2 linked regions of the Lepisosteus oculatus genome follow. The protein of the gene in region 1 interacts with the protein of each later gene in a pairwise test. Links are inferred from orthologs where the notes say so. Each region holds a gene or a part of one and is shown on either strand. Other genes may lie near its edges.

The links. The genes of interacting proteins can lie anywhere in the genome.
Region 2: the proteins of txlna (region 1) and stmn2b interact in binary tests that used the Homo sapiens proteins (3 or more experiments, as listed by UniProt). The two-hybrid records come from large-scale screens. The link is inferred for Lepisosteus oculatus from reciprocal best matches to the Homo sapiens genes TXLNA and STMN2.

What each region holds. Positions count from the first base shown.
Region 1 is NC_090706.1:3,310,660-3,318,593, reverse strand, and holds the start of txlna (alpha-taxilin), read right to left. Parts: upstream 3,221-7,934; 5' UTR 3,110-3,220; intron 1,580-3,109; 5' UTR 1,572-1,579; coding exon 1,409-1,571; intron 376-1,408; coding exon 100-375; intron 1-99. UniProt on the Homo sapiens protein: May be involved in intracellular vesicle traffic and potentially in calcium-dependent exocytosis in neuroendocrine cells.
Region 2 is NC_090705.1:27,026,707-27,035,162, reverse strand, and holds the start of stmn2b (stathmin-2b), read left to right. Parts: upstream 1-5,054; 5' UTR 5,055-5,224; coding exon 5,225-5,243; intron 5,244-8,456. UniProt on the Homo sapiens protein: Regulator of microtubule stability. When phosphorylated by MAPK8, stabilizes microtubules and consequently controls neurite length in cortical neurons.

The DNA.
Region 1 (7,934 bases):
CCCCCCAGTTCAATCTAAACTATTTCAACTGAGTCTAAAGCCGCAGGAGAACTGCCCCACTGCTCCAAAGTGCAGTGACCAGCGAGTGAAAAGTCTTACCGAGGCCCTTAACCTTTTTCTTCTCCTGCGGTTTCTTCTGGTCTTTGTCGGCGACGTCCCCGTTGAGCTTGGGCTCCTCCGTCTTGCCGTCTTCCTTCTCCGCCAGGCCGTTGACCACCAGGCAGTCCAAGTCGGGCTCGCCATTGCGGGGCGACTCGCTCCTGCCCTCTGCTGGCTCCGGCGGCGCCCCGTCCTCCCCGCTGTCCTCCTGGCAGTACGTGTTCAGGATGTCCTCCAGCTGCCGGCTCAGCTCCTCCGACACGTCGCGGGACACCGCTGTGGAGGGCGGGACGCGCACCGTCAGCGCGGCGCCGACACCAGTAACGGGGAGTAACGGCTGCAACTACTGAGGCAGACACTCTCGTCTAAGCCGCTCAAGCTAACCTCACTTAGAGACACAGTCTAACAGTTCTAGGTTTCAGATCGAAATGTTTTAAGATGCTACATTTGTATCTGACGGACATTTGCAGGTCCCATCAGGACACAGGAGAGCATGGAAGGAGTGTAAGCACTCTGAATGGTGGTACGTCTAAGTAACGCTGGCACATAAAAAGATAGAAGCATCATCACCTTAAGACCTGAGGAATAAGGGTTTAATTGGAATAATAACTCTTCTAATAGTTCACCAACCACAAGGGATCCTAAGGCTGTTCATGACAAAGAAATCTAAAATAACAGCTACATTGTGGTCACCTCTAACAGGGACTTGAGAGCTCTTTCCAGAGAATGTCAAGCCTTTCACCAGTGGGGCCTTTAAGTCATCTTTGACCTTCAGGACAAGAAGCAAACATCACATATGGACATTCTGGATTGTCATTTCATCTGTTTCCTAGTGCCTCGGCAAGGTTTTGATATTTGTTCCCTGCTGGGGAGCTGCAATACTCTAAGGACACTGCATTCGTAAAGCCTGCGATTTGACGAGATGTGCAATGAAAAACATCTTTTACCTATCGCCGGAATAAAAAAATAGATTCATGTTCACTGGTGATTGAAGATGTTTAAAGCCCCCATCAGTTTGCTATTTCTGGTAGCTCCAACGCAAGCCTGGACTGCAATCATGTGAGCTACCCTAGCAGGGACCAAACCTATCCCCCCACTGGCTGTTAGACTGTCTCCACTTTATTCAACTTCAATTCCTTCTGTCCTGAACTTCAGCCAAGACCAGGACTAGCTGCTTAAATGGTTTCCCACAAGACTAAGAGGTTGGGGTGGTAGGTTCTGTTAGAAGACATACAGTGTGAAGTAGTGTATGATCTCCGGGTTATTTCTCTGCAGCGCTCCACAGATGCGAGAGCAGATTCCGACTTACCCCCGTTCTTGGCCTGCGTCTCCGGAGGCGGAGTGTCAGGCTGCTGGTTGTCCGCAGACTCCTGGCTGCCAGCGCGCTCCAGAGCCGCCCCTTCCCCTTCTCCGGGCTGAGCCCCACTGCCTCCGCACAGCTGCTCGGGCCCTTCACTGTCCTGCTTCTTCATCACGGCGGCTGCCAAGAGGAAGGGCAAGGCATGATGGCTGGAGCTCTGCAGTGGCCGCCGTTTTCACTAGACGCTGCTGTTGCTGCGGTTACACTGCAACTGAGGTGGTGATGATCACTACCCATGCCTGACAGTGACCTCTAAAAAGCCAGAAATTCCAATGGCTTACACGTCATGTATGCAAGGGATTACCTTTTCAATTTTTAATTTCAAGGAAAAGGCTCGGGCGGCACATTGGCGCAGTGGTTAGTGCTACTGCCTCTCAATGCTGGGGCCCTGGGCCCAGTACCGGACCTGAGCTGCTATGTTCACGGAGTTTGTACGTTCTCCCTGTGTTTGTGTGGGCTTCCTCCCACAGTCCAAAGACATGCTGGCGGGGTAACTGGGCTCTGGGAAAACTGGCCCAGATGTGAGTGTGTGCGTTGGTATCCGTGTGTGCCCTGCGACGGACATGGATGGATTTCAAAGACAACATTTCCTCCTCTCAGAGCAGAAGAGAAAGAACAACGAAATCGTGAAACAGACACAGAGCTTCTTCTGAGCGCGCACCCCTGCTCCCTTCGACACCCTTCAGGCGACAGGCACACGTATCCTGTCATGAGCTACGAACCCTATTAAGAAATTCATTTCTCTTGCGTGATTTTACATCATTCCAGGGGATAGATCCCCAAATTAAGCAAGGAGCACGTTTAGAAATGCGCACACATTTCCTGGATTTCGCAGAACCAAACCAAGATGAAGCCAAACGTGAGAAACAGGAGACAGTGCAACAACTGACTCGGTCTGTTACTTCAGTGACACGTTTCACACGATTAGCCGTTTCTTTGAAGCCACTTACACCGATTTCAAAACCAGCCTCTACAATATTATTCCGGATCAAGGCTCCAACAGGACTGCAGTAAGACCCCGATACGCCTGCGTACCTACACTAAAATTGACATGAGATTCCGTTGTGACAACGTTATTTTTTGTTTTGGAAATCACTGAACTTCAGTGGCTCCAACCGCCTGAAGCCAGCCCTACGACACTTAAGTGTCTTATTAGTATCGGACATTGTTTTATTTTCGCTTCGTGTATCAATCCAAAGTTTCTGTTAACCCCTCAACAAATAGAATCATTACTTTAAAACATGCGTAGGGTTGTCCATGATAACGCATTTGAACAGCATCACGTAGGTGGGACAACACGATTAAAAAAGGCAAATCAAGTTACATTTGGCCGACTGTAATAGACAGTCCCCTTTAAAACCAACAGTGATACAAAACTAGTAACAGACTTTCTTAAGCAAAAAAAGGGGTGAGCTAAACTTAAATCTCTTTAGAATATAATCGAACAAAAAATCCATGTGGATCACAGCTAACGACAAAAGTCACTACGATATCAGCAAAATAGGATTACTGAAAAGAACCGAATAATTCTTCATCACGTTCACTAGCTACTCACAACTTCACGTTATCGCCTATACATACAAAACACAGTTTCGTAATTCCAGTCTTGCTAAAAAAAACTAGGCATTTTGTTATTTCTACGACACTTACCACTGAAATAATATCTGTATCGTCTCAAACGAGCAAATAAAACACTTCAACACTCTGCTTTCCTGCCAACTGACACACCGGAAATACCGGTGAATTGGTACATTCTGATTGGCGACGCCGTAAGCGGATGTGCAAGATAAAAGGAAAAGACGTTGGGGGAAAGTTGGAGAGGGTGGGCCGGAGTTTCGCAATGCTTCATGGTCGATGTAGTTTCTTCCTGCTTCTAGAGGACTTCAATCACCACAATGCGCTTGGAAAAATAAACTTTCTGTTTCCCATAACCGTGACACAAAAAGCTGTTGGTAAAAAGCGAAACTTGCTCAGATAAAACAATTATGGCACTCCTAAAGCTAACAAATTCGCCCCCGGACACAAAAGACAATTCTAAATTATTGTCCAGATCTAAATAAATAATGATAACCGCTCATACTCTATTATTGGCACCTGTTAAGGTCTGTGATATATTTTATGATTTGAGCATAATACTTTAAGCAGTGATACCAGCGTGTAATGTTAAAATAAACCTTTAAGGTAGTGGTAGTATATAGCCATAAATGAAACTTTTTTTTTACTACTTTAGGTAGGGTTTCCATTTGAACGTTCAAAAGAGAGGCCACTCTGTCGACGGATGACAGTGGTATTTGTAGCAGGGTCTATTAAAGTATCTAAGGAAAAAAATCTCTGTTTTGAAAATTCCTCCTGGACAGATAATTAAGAACTACAGGAGTGGACACGTCTGGAAAAAGACGTCTGTATGGTAACCCCACTTCATGGGAATCCTAACAAAATAATACATTTTATACATGTACATGTATTATTATACAATAATACGTGTTTTTTCACACATTTGAAAATTTCCAATGGTTCTCTGCAGCCCTGAAGAGTTTTTTTTCCTGCTTTCTGATGTATTTACGCTTGGATTTTATATTTATCGATTTTTTTTTAACAGCTTTATCCAGTGCTTGGTCACGGAGAAGCCAGAGCCTATCCTGACAAGTGCCTGGGGTCCAAGCAGAGTATTCCGTAGGTGGGACACCAGTCCCTGGCAGGGCACACACACACACAGTCACACTCACGGCAGGGCCAACTTTCCCAGAGGTCAGTCAACTTACCAGTATGTGTTTGACTGCAGAAGATTGCCACAGGGACTGTGGGAGCAAACTGGGAGAACCTGGAGGATCCCCACAAGAAATGGGGGAGAACATGCAAACTCCACTCACATGGCACACAGAGAATTGAACCCAGGGCCCCAGTGCAGTCGGTATCTTTGACCCAAACGCATCCTCGCCTCGCAGAGGCTGCCAGACTGGAATATTCCAGCAAGGACTGCTCCATTACGGAGGGGGTGTGACCCTGATCCAAGATCCTGATCTGCAACCCACATCTTTGCATGTGGGCGTCCTCTGGGTACCTCATTTTCAGGATGGACACGGTGTTTGGCATGTAATGTCTCAGCACTGCACTAATGCTGTTTGTGACATCTGAAGGAGATTGGAGATTGTCTCAGTAAAACGTCACATCCCAGTCTGAAGCTTGATCACGCTCTGCATGAGACTATCATACGGCAACACACATGTTCCTGTTAGGAAGCAATATGTCATCTTACTGCAGAGGCGCCACAAGTTTCAGTTGAATCAATGGGGCCTATACACTGGCCATGCAGCTCAAAGAAGTCTTGAGGCTAATCATAAGACTTTATTGATCCCAAAGGGAAATTGAGGGATCGGATTAATCAATTAAATTAAGATCAGACAAGATTACTTTATTAGCCATATACAATTTCTTGAATTAGGAATTGCTCTTTTCGCATACCCCAGCTTGCTCTCCATAGGACACAGGCACACAGACAGAGAGAGAGAAGCTTGGGGTCAGCCATTTAGACAGCACCCCTGGAGCAGTTGGGGTTAAGGGCATTGCTCAAGGGCCCAATGGATTAGGATTCCTCTGGCGGCCGTGGGATTTGAACTGGCTACCTTCCAGCCACAGAGCCACTGCCCCGCCCGTTAGGGGTAAATACTTCCTGGTCCCAGTTTTTATGTAAAGGATGTTTGCAGTACATGCAACATGTGAATCACAATTAACTGGATATGTTCAGAATTTATGTCAGTTTCTTCTTCAGGGCAGTGTTTTCTGTTTCACCAAGGAAACACAACATGAAACATCAGAATGCAGATTTTATTTTAATCACACTGGTATATATGCATCTCTCCCGATTCTGGTGCATACTAAGGTATGCAAGACAATTGGTAGATTTTGTAAGTTCCTATAACTGGTCACAACACAAAGAAAACACACAAAGATTGCAACAAGATTTCAATGACATTTTTATTGAACTTTTATTCTCTTACAGTATTTGTAACCCTACATAACCTTTTTCATTTATTTTGTTAATTTCTGTTTCATGTTCATGTATATGTGTATCATGTTCTGTTCGTGTTCACGTCTGAATCTGTCCTCACACTCATTCACATGGTCGGCTGAAGAAGAGTCAGTGTCAAAGCGTCAGTCACAAGCAAGCCAAAATCAAATACAAAAAGAAAATAAAGGACCAAAAAGGGATCTCAGGGTTATCCAGTATAGCATATATCAAATCTGCAGAAACACTTTCTACAGCCCTTTCCAATTCTGTCCTCACTCCCCACCTCATTACAAGTACGTGATCCATCCTGAACCATAAAACTCTGCTCTGTGGCACATATGAAACATGCATAACTACCCTGTAAACTGAATTGGAATACATACAATAAGTGTTTAAAATATGCAACATAACAGCACAAACACCTTGCATAAAAGCTCTGTAAAGGAAACAGTAAAATAATAACACCAAGACGTATCGGAAATGGAAGCAAGACAGGAAGGAGGGAATTAAAACAGACTCGAAGGATCAGTATATGGATGTGGCTATTTTAAGCTACTGGCTGATCCTGATTTGTGGAATTCATGACCGAAGACAACGAACACTTCTGCAGTGTGAGAATACAACTATCAACACATGAAGTTAGTGCTACAACTTGCAACTGGATTTGTTCTTCCAAGTTTCTTGATTGATATGTAAGAAACAAACCTGTGCTTAAAATTCCACCAGATTTGTAGAATATTCCCAACCACTTAAACGAGAAGGGTGGATTTATCCTCTGTCCGCACAAATGGGGGGAGGTTTCTATTGCTATATCTGCATGGTTCATGTTTTCACAGTTTGATTCGGGAGGTCTGTAAGGAGATTTCTTTAACTAGAAATTCAGAAATTCCGCCAGTCAATTTTATCCCATCCTAATCCCAGCTGACTAATGTCAGTAACCCCCACTGACCACCAACATTCAAAGAAGACTGGAAAAAAAAAAAATCTGCAAAGCTGGTGAACAGACTGTGGAAGTCTAATGACTGACCAGAGGTTCGAAAGCCCAGAAATACTTTGTGCTGACCATTCTGTGACCACAACCACTGAACTGAGACAAAAACCAGAAGAGCTTGCGATCGCTCGACATGGAAGAGCCAAGCAGGTGCTGCCCAAAAACCGTGGCTAACTTCTGCAGCATGCTGCCATGAAAACAGGGAGGTGCACCCTCAGCACGGCAGGTAAGGTTCATACAAAAACAATGACCAAAACTCCGGATACAGATACCATGGCTTCCATCACTAGCAGATCTGAAAACAGTACTACACAATAAATTAGAAAAACAGATCAACCCGACAATTAAATAATTCTGATCCAATATAAAGAATTTAGTGCAAGAACAGTAAAGGACACCACTTTTTTTAAAAAAATGTAGCAGGTAATGTAACTTCATCAGTTAAGCAAATAAAGCAGCAAAGTTTGCACAAACAATTGTGCACATTCAAGTACAAAACAAGAAGTCATAAAGACCAAGAAGATACTCAGACAAACCTTCAGGGACTTTATTGGTCAGATTGGCACTTCAGTGAATAGAGGAGTGCATTACTCTTTTTTGTTCCAAACAATATTCTCACATTCTTCTTGTGGATATGTTTCCTGTTATTTACATCTACAGGTGCAAGTAAACTCTGGCTCGCCAATCCAGTAAAAAGCTCTCGGGCTCCACCCTAAAGCAAAAGGAGATGTTTTTCTCCATTCCTTCTCATTTAGACATTTTTATTAGTAACACACCTGTTGCTTAGTTATTTTTACATGCCAGTGTATGGCACTTTCTTGTAGAACTTTTTTTCCCCCCAAAATACCCAACACCTATAAAAAAAAATCCAAGACCTAGATGTATAAAAACATCTCATTTTCAAACAATCTGGAATATAGCCAATTGACAACGTAGAACTAAAATGTACAAAAACTGTCAATAAAAAAAAATACTGGAATATTAATAGATATTAAAAGGAAAACATGAAGATGGGGAACATTATCACAGGGCTGCAACCCAGCTGCATTTTTGCATAGTTAACAGCCTACACATCTGAGCTTTGAGGGCAGTTACTAAACCAGCAGAAGTGTCTTGTATCTGTGAACAGCAGCAGGACAGAAAAGCAAATGAGAAACTAGATTCTCACAGAAAGCACGCCCAGCTCTGCTGTAACGCACTGTGGGAGCTTTCTGAAAGGATGAGAATGTCTTGCAATATTGAATGATTCACTCTGGATAATCATTCAAACATCACACAGAAGGCAAAGGCAGCTGAACCTCTCTCACAAATATATGCATAGGTACAAATCACACCCTTAAATAACATACATTCATAAACACACACACAAATTTATATACATATGCGCACACACACGACATGCATCCTCTGAAATGTCTTTTATGGTCAGCTAAATCGGCCATTCCTTTTACAAAACCGTGTTACACCTTTTTAGA
Region 2 (8,456 bases), on another chromosome or scaffold:
TCGAATGCTAATGTCCTTAAATTTGTTAAACAGATAGATGTGTATTTCAAGAACATGAGTGAAATTATTGCAGATCTGATGTTTTCAGATCAGAAACGGAAGCCTGATGGCTTCTGCAGTCTGTATTCCAAAATACAACGTGTTTTGCACAGAACCTGTGGTAACACCATCCGCTGATTATTCAGGCAAATTTGTTTGCTCTGCTCGATCAAATCGCCCAATGCGGCTCACATGGTTTTAGACATGGGGAGCGGAAGGGCATTATGAATGCTTTTTCAGATGCCTCAAAGTCCTAAGCAATGTTGGGGTGGTGGTTATGTGTACCGAACTAATTTTCCGCACCAACATTTAATTGTTGATTGCAAACGGGAGCAGGTAATGTGTGTGTACTGCGATGTTTCTGTGTTTGAAAACCTATAAAGGAAATAGTGGTTCGCATTTTACATGCTTGAAAACGGGAGTCTTTAACGTTTGTGAAAAGTGTGTACTACGATGTTTCTGTGTTTGAAAACCTATTCATGAAATAAGTGGTTCGCATTTCACATGCTATTTGTCCTGTGAGTTCTTTCCATGAGACTACGTGGTCACTGTGTGTGTATGTGAGTGCTTACATGCCCTTGATGTTTTTTTTGAGACTTGCTGTTAGGGTCAACCACTTGGCCACCTGGCCGCGGTTGTTGACGCTCACACCCCGGGATCTCGTGGCCCTCACCAGACTCCCCACGCCGCCGTAACTCCCTGATTCCCTAGGGTTATAATAGAGTGGTCAACCCCGCAGAAGACATGGTCGCCTTCCAACCCTAACACATGCTTTCATACACTTATTTATAAATCGAGGGATGCGGTGACTGGGGCTTTTGGACCATGAGTCTCAGGCCTGACCAGCAGGGGGAAGGCGGGACATCTGCCCCTTAACAACACACCATTGGCTCCTGAGGGGGTGGGACATCGGCCCCACCGTGGACTCCCAGTGGCTGAAAAAGGGGGTGTGGCACCTGTCAAAAAAGTTTGATGAAAGGTATCGCTTTATACTACTGGTATCCTTTCTTGCGCCTCAGAAGGCTCTAGCTCCCCTGTGACCCTGAATTGGATGAGGTTGTTAGAAAATGGGTAGATGGATATTTCTTAAAACCCTACCCCATCAGTAGATTCCTGGTGTCAGGAGACAGGCATAATCCTTGCATTCCAGTTGTTGTTATTTGAACTTTTGGATGATAATATCCTTTTTTTCTTATGGTACCTGAAACTGAACATACAGTAGTTTATAAATGAGGTCCTACAAGTACGTTGTTAAGCTTGCAGTTAAATACAGTGTATCTTTAATGTTTTAGGTTGTCCGTTTTTAAAACACCTGAAACAATTTCACTTTGGCCACTAAGTAGAAATTACAATGCCCTCCAAATGTATTGAGACAAAAACCTAAAATTGGCATTTCCCTGTTGTATCCACAAAGAACCTGAAATTCTTCTGAGTCTGAGCTCAGAAGGTCACCCTTTCTTTTTAGGATATATTTTGCACACACAATTTTTCAACTAAAGCATGTGCTGTGTTCAAACCCCCCCCCAGTAATGTAGCCAATTCATAGAGGAGGATTATTAGGAGGCCATGATTGGTAAAGGCCAATGGGAAATTTGTCCAGGACCAGGGTTACACCCCTACTCTTTTCGAGAAACACCCTGGGATTTTTAATGACCACAGAGAGTCAGGACCTCCGTTTTACATCTCATTCAAAGGACGGCGCCTGTTTACTTAGGTGATCATAAATATTGGGACTTTAAATTAAAGAAGGGAAAAATCAGTCTTTTGTTGCAAATCCCTTGCTTGCAATAACTGCATCAAGCCTCCGTCCCGTTGACATCACCAGACTTCTTCACTTGATATCCAGGACCAGGGTTACACCCCTACTCTTTTCGAGAAACACCCTGGGATTTTTAATGACCACAGAGAGTCAGGACCTCCGTTTTACATCTCATTCAAAGGACGGCGCCTGTTTATTTAGGTGATCATAAATATTGGGACTTTAAATTAAAGAAGGGAAAAATCAGTCTTTTGTTGCAAATCCCTTGCTTGCAATAACTGCATCAAGCCTCCGTCCCGTTGACATCACCAGACTTCTTCACTTGATATGCTTTTCTAGGCTTTAACTGCAGCCTCTTGAAGCCGTTGCTTGTTGGTCAGGCTTTCTTCCTTCAGTCTCCTTTTGAACAAATATAATGTTTGTGTTACACCCCTCAAAAAGGGGAGATGATTAAAGAATTAAAACGTACACGCAGTTTTTATTTCTAAACCGTTTAACCGCGAGCTCCGAAAAAAAACTGAAAACCGAACGCTAGAAAAAAAAAAGAAAACCGCATGAGCTCCCTCTATAATACCTGAGCAGGCAAAAACTAATTAACTGCCGACTTTCCTAAACGAAAGCGATCCTCACTGGCCAATATTCAGAACGCCCAAACCACCCCAAACTTTCAACCCTTTCAAGTGTTTCAATCTGTCACACTTGCTCAATTGGATTTAAATCTGGTGATTGATTTGGCCAGTTTAAAATGTTTTATTTTCTGTCTGTTTTAAGCGTGCAATATGTTTTGGGTCATTGTCCTGCTGCATAATTAACTGCCACCCAATAAGTCTGGTGCCATTTTTTCTTACATTTGCAGACAAGATCTGTTTCTATGTGTCTGAATGTACCCTACTGCTAACATCTTCAGTTAAGTCATCAATAAAGACTAGCCTCCAGGTTTTTTTTGGTGAAGTCTTCTATGGATTGTGGTGCTCAAAATTTGCCTCCCCACACTCTGGAGATTTTTGATTTCACTAACAATTTGTTTTTTCACAAAAATATTTTTCTATCATCCACTTCATTTGTCTTTTTTGGACGCTCTGTTCTCAGCCTGTTATTGACTTCTCCAGTTTCCTTTTTGTTAAAAACATCCCAGATTGTTGATTTTGGAATGCCAAGAGACTTTTCAGTTTTTCTGATGGTCATTTTCTTTCCTCTCATTTTCAAAATAGCCTTCTTCTCTGGTCTTCAGGTTGGTTTTTCCTGACTAATTCAAGAGAAAGACTTCAGAAGCAGTTTCAAAAGACCTCAACCACGCCAGACCTTCACAGCTCTTGTGTGTGAAACGTATGCAACATGTAACATCTGCACAATTAGAAACACCTGTAAACCCCATTTGTCCCAGTACATATTTTTAATGGGAGCCGGTCCTGACTTCCTTGTAGTGCGTAGTTCAGGACCCTATGCAGACGGTATAATCCGGAAATGACTGGAGAAGTTCTACTGGGAAATAACAGTGAGGAATGGAAGGAATGGCGAAAGGGAGGCGGTGCCGACAGTGATCCAGGTGCAAAGGGGTAGCGCAGGCAAACAAGTCCAAAACTGTCCAACTGTCCAAACAGAATGACAAGGCCAGGCCCTCCGAGCCCTGGACGCTTTTCGGAAGCCTAAGCCCTCAAGCCGTGGACGTACAGTATGGCGACTTGATGCTAAGCGGACCTCTGGGCATCCATCTTCCAATGCAAAGCATCGAGCTTCCAGAGCACTGGGTTGAAATAATACCGGTGAAACCAGGGACAGGTGTACGTGATAATGAAACAAACACAAAAGGGTCAGAGCCCCCTCTAGAGGAGGGATGACGATCGTGACAATATTCTTATATAAACGTGGGGGGTTGAACAAAAGAAGTGCTGTTGTTGTATAATGATTTATGCATAAAAACACACAACTGCTTTTGTCTTATATTCATCTTGTGATTTTGAAATCCATATTTCCTGAGAATACAGCATACATGGGAAAATTTGAACTCTTGTCCCAGTACTTTTGGAGGGCACTGTATGTTCCATGAAAGGAGTTTAGAGCTCATTCAAAATGAAAACAACAAAATTGTGTTACTCTTGAAAGCTAAAGTTGGTAAGTGAACCAATTAATGGACTCAACTAATCAAAACATATGTTCCAATTTTTTCACAAAATGCTGATTTGAAGGTAACTCCTACACCAGGCCAGGTTAAACTTGTCATAGACATATCCTTTAATTTTAATAATAATAATTGCTTACAGTTATATAGCGCTTTTCTGGACACTCCACTCAAAGCGCTTTACAGGTAATGGGGACTGTTACCACCACCAATGGGCAGCATCCACCTCGATGATGTGACGGCAGCCATAATGCGTCAGAACACTCACCACACATCAGCTCCCAGTGGGGAGGAGAGCAGAGTAATGTAGCCAATTCATAGAGGAGGATTATTAGGAGGCCATGATTGGTAAAGGCCAATGGGAAATTTGTCCAGGACCAGGGTTACACCCCTACTCTTTTCGAGAAACACCCTGGGATTTTTAATGACCACAGAGAGTCAGGACCTCCGTTTTACATCTCATTCAAAGGACGGCGCCTGTTTACAGTATAGTGTCCCCGTCACTATACTGGGACATTAGGACCCACATGGACTGCAGGGTGACCGCCCCCTGCTGGCCCCACTAACACCTCTTCCAGCAGCAACCTTAGTTTTTCCCTGGAGGTCTCTCATCCAGGCATTAACCAGGCTCACACCCGCTTAGCTTCAGTGGGTTGCCAGTTGTGAGTTGCAAGGTGATATGGCTGCTATTTAAGATGAATTAGGCGGTATTTTAGACACATTTTCTTTGGAAAATGATTGCTAGACATTACAATAAACTTGTATTTCCTCCTTTGATTCATATACACTCGTTTATAAAAGCTCCAAAAGCTTTTCCGTATATAAATCAGAATAAAGCTAACAATAAAGAAAAAACCTTAAATAATCATTAATCACCAGATATTATTATAAAACTTGAATAGCAGTCTTATTTTTATTTATTTCAGTATATCTACCTAATAAAGTAATGTTATGCACAGGGCTTTTAGGGTGTTGGTTGAGGTGCACCGTTAAATGTGGTATGAGAGGGGTGTGGTGGTTATTATAACTATTTAAAATTTCAACTCTAATTCCGACCTAGAATCAGTCGGAGGTTTTTTAAGATGCCGGTAGCACGGCGGTTTCTCGATTGAAGATGCGCGTCAGGGGACCACGGCAGCCAATCTGCTTGTGAACAAAAGCGATAATAATTCACAGAGTCCTGTCTCTTGCTCTTTCTTACGCACGGAGCGCTGATCTGCTGACTCAGTGCCTTATTCAGTCCTTTCTCTAGCCGCTTACTGAAACTGCACCGCTTTCCTTGGTACCGAACAACTGTACCCACAACCATGGCTAAAACCGCAATGGGTAAGGAGAAGGCTGATTATTTTAATAAGGATATTTTACTAATTTAAAAGGGGCAATGAAATCTAACACAGGTAGGTGCGACATCCGAAACACAAAGGACCTCAGGCTTTTGTCAATTGCAAGGGAGCGGTCAATTGCAACAGCACTGACGCATGAGAAGAAATTCGCATATACACATGTGCATTTTAAAATGAAATGAATTGCATATGTTACCACCTATTTACAAAAGTCATATTTTATATTGTCGTTGTTTTTTAAGGTTTTAATTTTATGAATTGGGCCGAAATGTCTTGATCCTGCACCGTTGAATACAGAGCTTAATAAGACGTGTTATTTTCATCGTATTCTGATTACATTAAATTGCATTTAACATAACAATTTTTTTATGTGCATACCTGAGATCGAATTTATTTCGGTTTTGGAAATGTCAAGCACCACCACCGCTTATTTATAACGCCGCACCCGCTACAGTAGCTCTGCACATGCTACTACAGCATAATGCAGAGAGACCCCACCCAGAGCTCGCTCTCTTCAAGATTTCGGGGCGTTTTACTAACGATTGGGGAGAATAAGGTGCTATTAAAACCAGATTTGCCAAGACATTAAATATAAAAATAAGGATGTGTTGCAGAGAAAATTAAATATTCACATGACAGTGTTTTTTTTATTAAATACACTTGCATGTTATGTATAGATGAGGTTAAAAACAGAAGCCATCGCTTTCAAAAGAATTTTCACTGAATTCATTTACAAATATCACTGCTTATCAATGGCACTGCCTTGATTAAAACAAACTAACAATTTGACTGCATTGAATTAAAAGTGGCTTGGCTATTGTCATTTTATTATCGATCGGAATCTTCAGTTTTCAGCAGGTGCGCCATCCATATGCATTTCCTTTGTGAATCATCTGCTTGCTCTCAGACACTGAAGGTGACAGTGTAATTCTGTATCTAACAGGGTCATCTAGTTAAATGAACGATAGAACAATCGTTTTGTATCGCAGAACCGTAATATGCATAAACAGTGAACCGTCCTTTCATTATGTCTGTTAAAGGATATTACCTTAATTTTTTCCGTGACTATTGTTCAGATAGCGATGCGAAGGGTATCCACCCTTCTTTGCACCTGTTTAACAAGACGTTATGCTCAGTTATTCTTCTATATCATTGCTTTGTTAGCTATAACAGTTATACTGGGCCTCTTAAGGCTACCTACATTATCAGAATTGGAAATTTTATAAAGCTGTGGTTTCAGATTCTGGATGAGTCCTTGAAGAGTCTCCAATATATTTTCTAACATTAATGCAGATATCTGTGCAGCATTTCTAAAGAGGACAAAAGTCTACGTGTACAATTCCATCACAATATCACTAACGTATAGGTGTTTATCTTAATACAGTGAACAGAGGACTGAAATATGGATTTACTGTACAGAACGTGTGTGGAAGTGGTATGCACCTGTATTTATCCTATTTTCTTTAAATAATTAGACTGTTTTAGAAGGAAACATACTTTTCTATATCTACAGATAAACAGAGACTCTAAAAAAAGGCCCTGCTTTATTCTGTTGTATTTAGTATTATGTATTAGTATTCAGTATTATGATGTTAATAAGCTTGCTGGTTTTTAGTTCATCGGACAGATTAGTAGACCTGTACAGACATCCACCTGAGCTTCTACTTGCTCTTTAAATAGGTAGTATTAAAACAGAAAATGTAGATTTTGTGTCAGATGAAAAGGCTGCAATATTAATCTTTTTGCGACCTATAATTCTCAATTATACCCTTGATAGGTAGAGTTATTTATCATTTGCTGAAGTATACATTACTGGCTAGCGATACACATAGACAGTTAAAAAGATTATATTAAATTTGTCTGTGTGTCACTAAATCATTTTTATATGCCAATGGAATTCCTAAAAGAAAGTACTTAAGAAATCTTGCGAAAGAGTGGAGGCAATCCAGAGGCCCCTTTTTTTGCGGTGAACCCAAAAACTGACTGAACTCTGGGCCCTCAAATCTAAGGCCACTATAGAGTGCTGTAGATTCAGGCACACAGCCCAGATGAATGTGTAGTTAAATGGGTGGTGGGTTTTTGGTATGAGACAATCACAAACTACAGGGCACCTTTTTGGTCCTGCCTTTGGAGTTGCTGTTCTGCAAGCAGACAGCAGTGTGGGAGTTGGGCCAGCCCTGCAGCAGGGGGGTGGTCATACAGTGGCCTCTGCAGCAGCCTACTGATCAGTATTGACAATCTGTAGCTGGTTGGTGACAGATCACTGCAGGCACTCTGACTGGAACTCTGTTACCTGCTGAGGAGTTTTTAAATCTTTTTTTGGCAGATATTTTGACATATCTGGATATTACATCTGATTCCTGTATAACCGTTGCACATTTCTAAGGTGTCCAAGAGCACCAGTCATTTGCACTGAGGTTAGAATCAGAACTTCTCAGTGGCTTCTACTCCTGAGTGTTTGCTTCCTCAGATAATACTTGCTCAACTATGGGGGTCAGAGAAATTAATTTTGCTACAACACTAACAGCTCCAGCCCTGACTATTAGGTGAAGAATCTCATACTGGTACTTAATATTATGAGGCATATAAAAACTTATATTTGCACATCTGACATGATGTTTGAGGAAAATATATACACTAAGAAAATAATATAAAAAATAAATTCTGGAAGAGGTGTGAAAGTACTGTCTGGAGCCATTATTGTTGGGTACTAAAATCATATCATTGGCATATAGGCAAAAGTGTCTATTGAAAGGATCAAAAGTCAATTCAGAACCTTAATGATTGTGTCATGGTGTTGGAATATTTGCAGAGGAATGCTGCTATTGACTTTAAAGATACCCCAGTGTGATCAGAATTAAATCAACTCTTTATCATCACAATCCTGGTTCCATTCTGAGGTTAATTACTAGGCTTGCCACTTTTCATCTTTGAAAAGTGCAGGAGTTATAGCAAAATATGTCTTGAATTTAATTTATTTGTTTAAGGTGGCACTGACACCTGTTAGATTCTGGCTTGCACTGGGGGGTTGCAGATATGGCCAGCAGCCATATCACTCTGCAATTCCCAACTGGCAACCCACTGAAGCTAAGCAGGTGTGGGCCTGGTCAGTACCTGGTCAGTACCTGGATGGGAAACATCCTTTGAAAAATTAAGGTTGCTGCTGGAAGAGGTGTTAGTGGTGGACACTCACCCT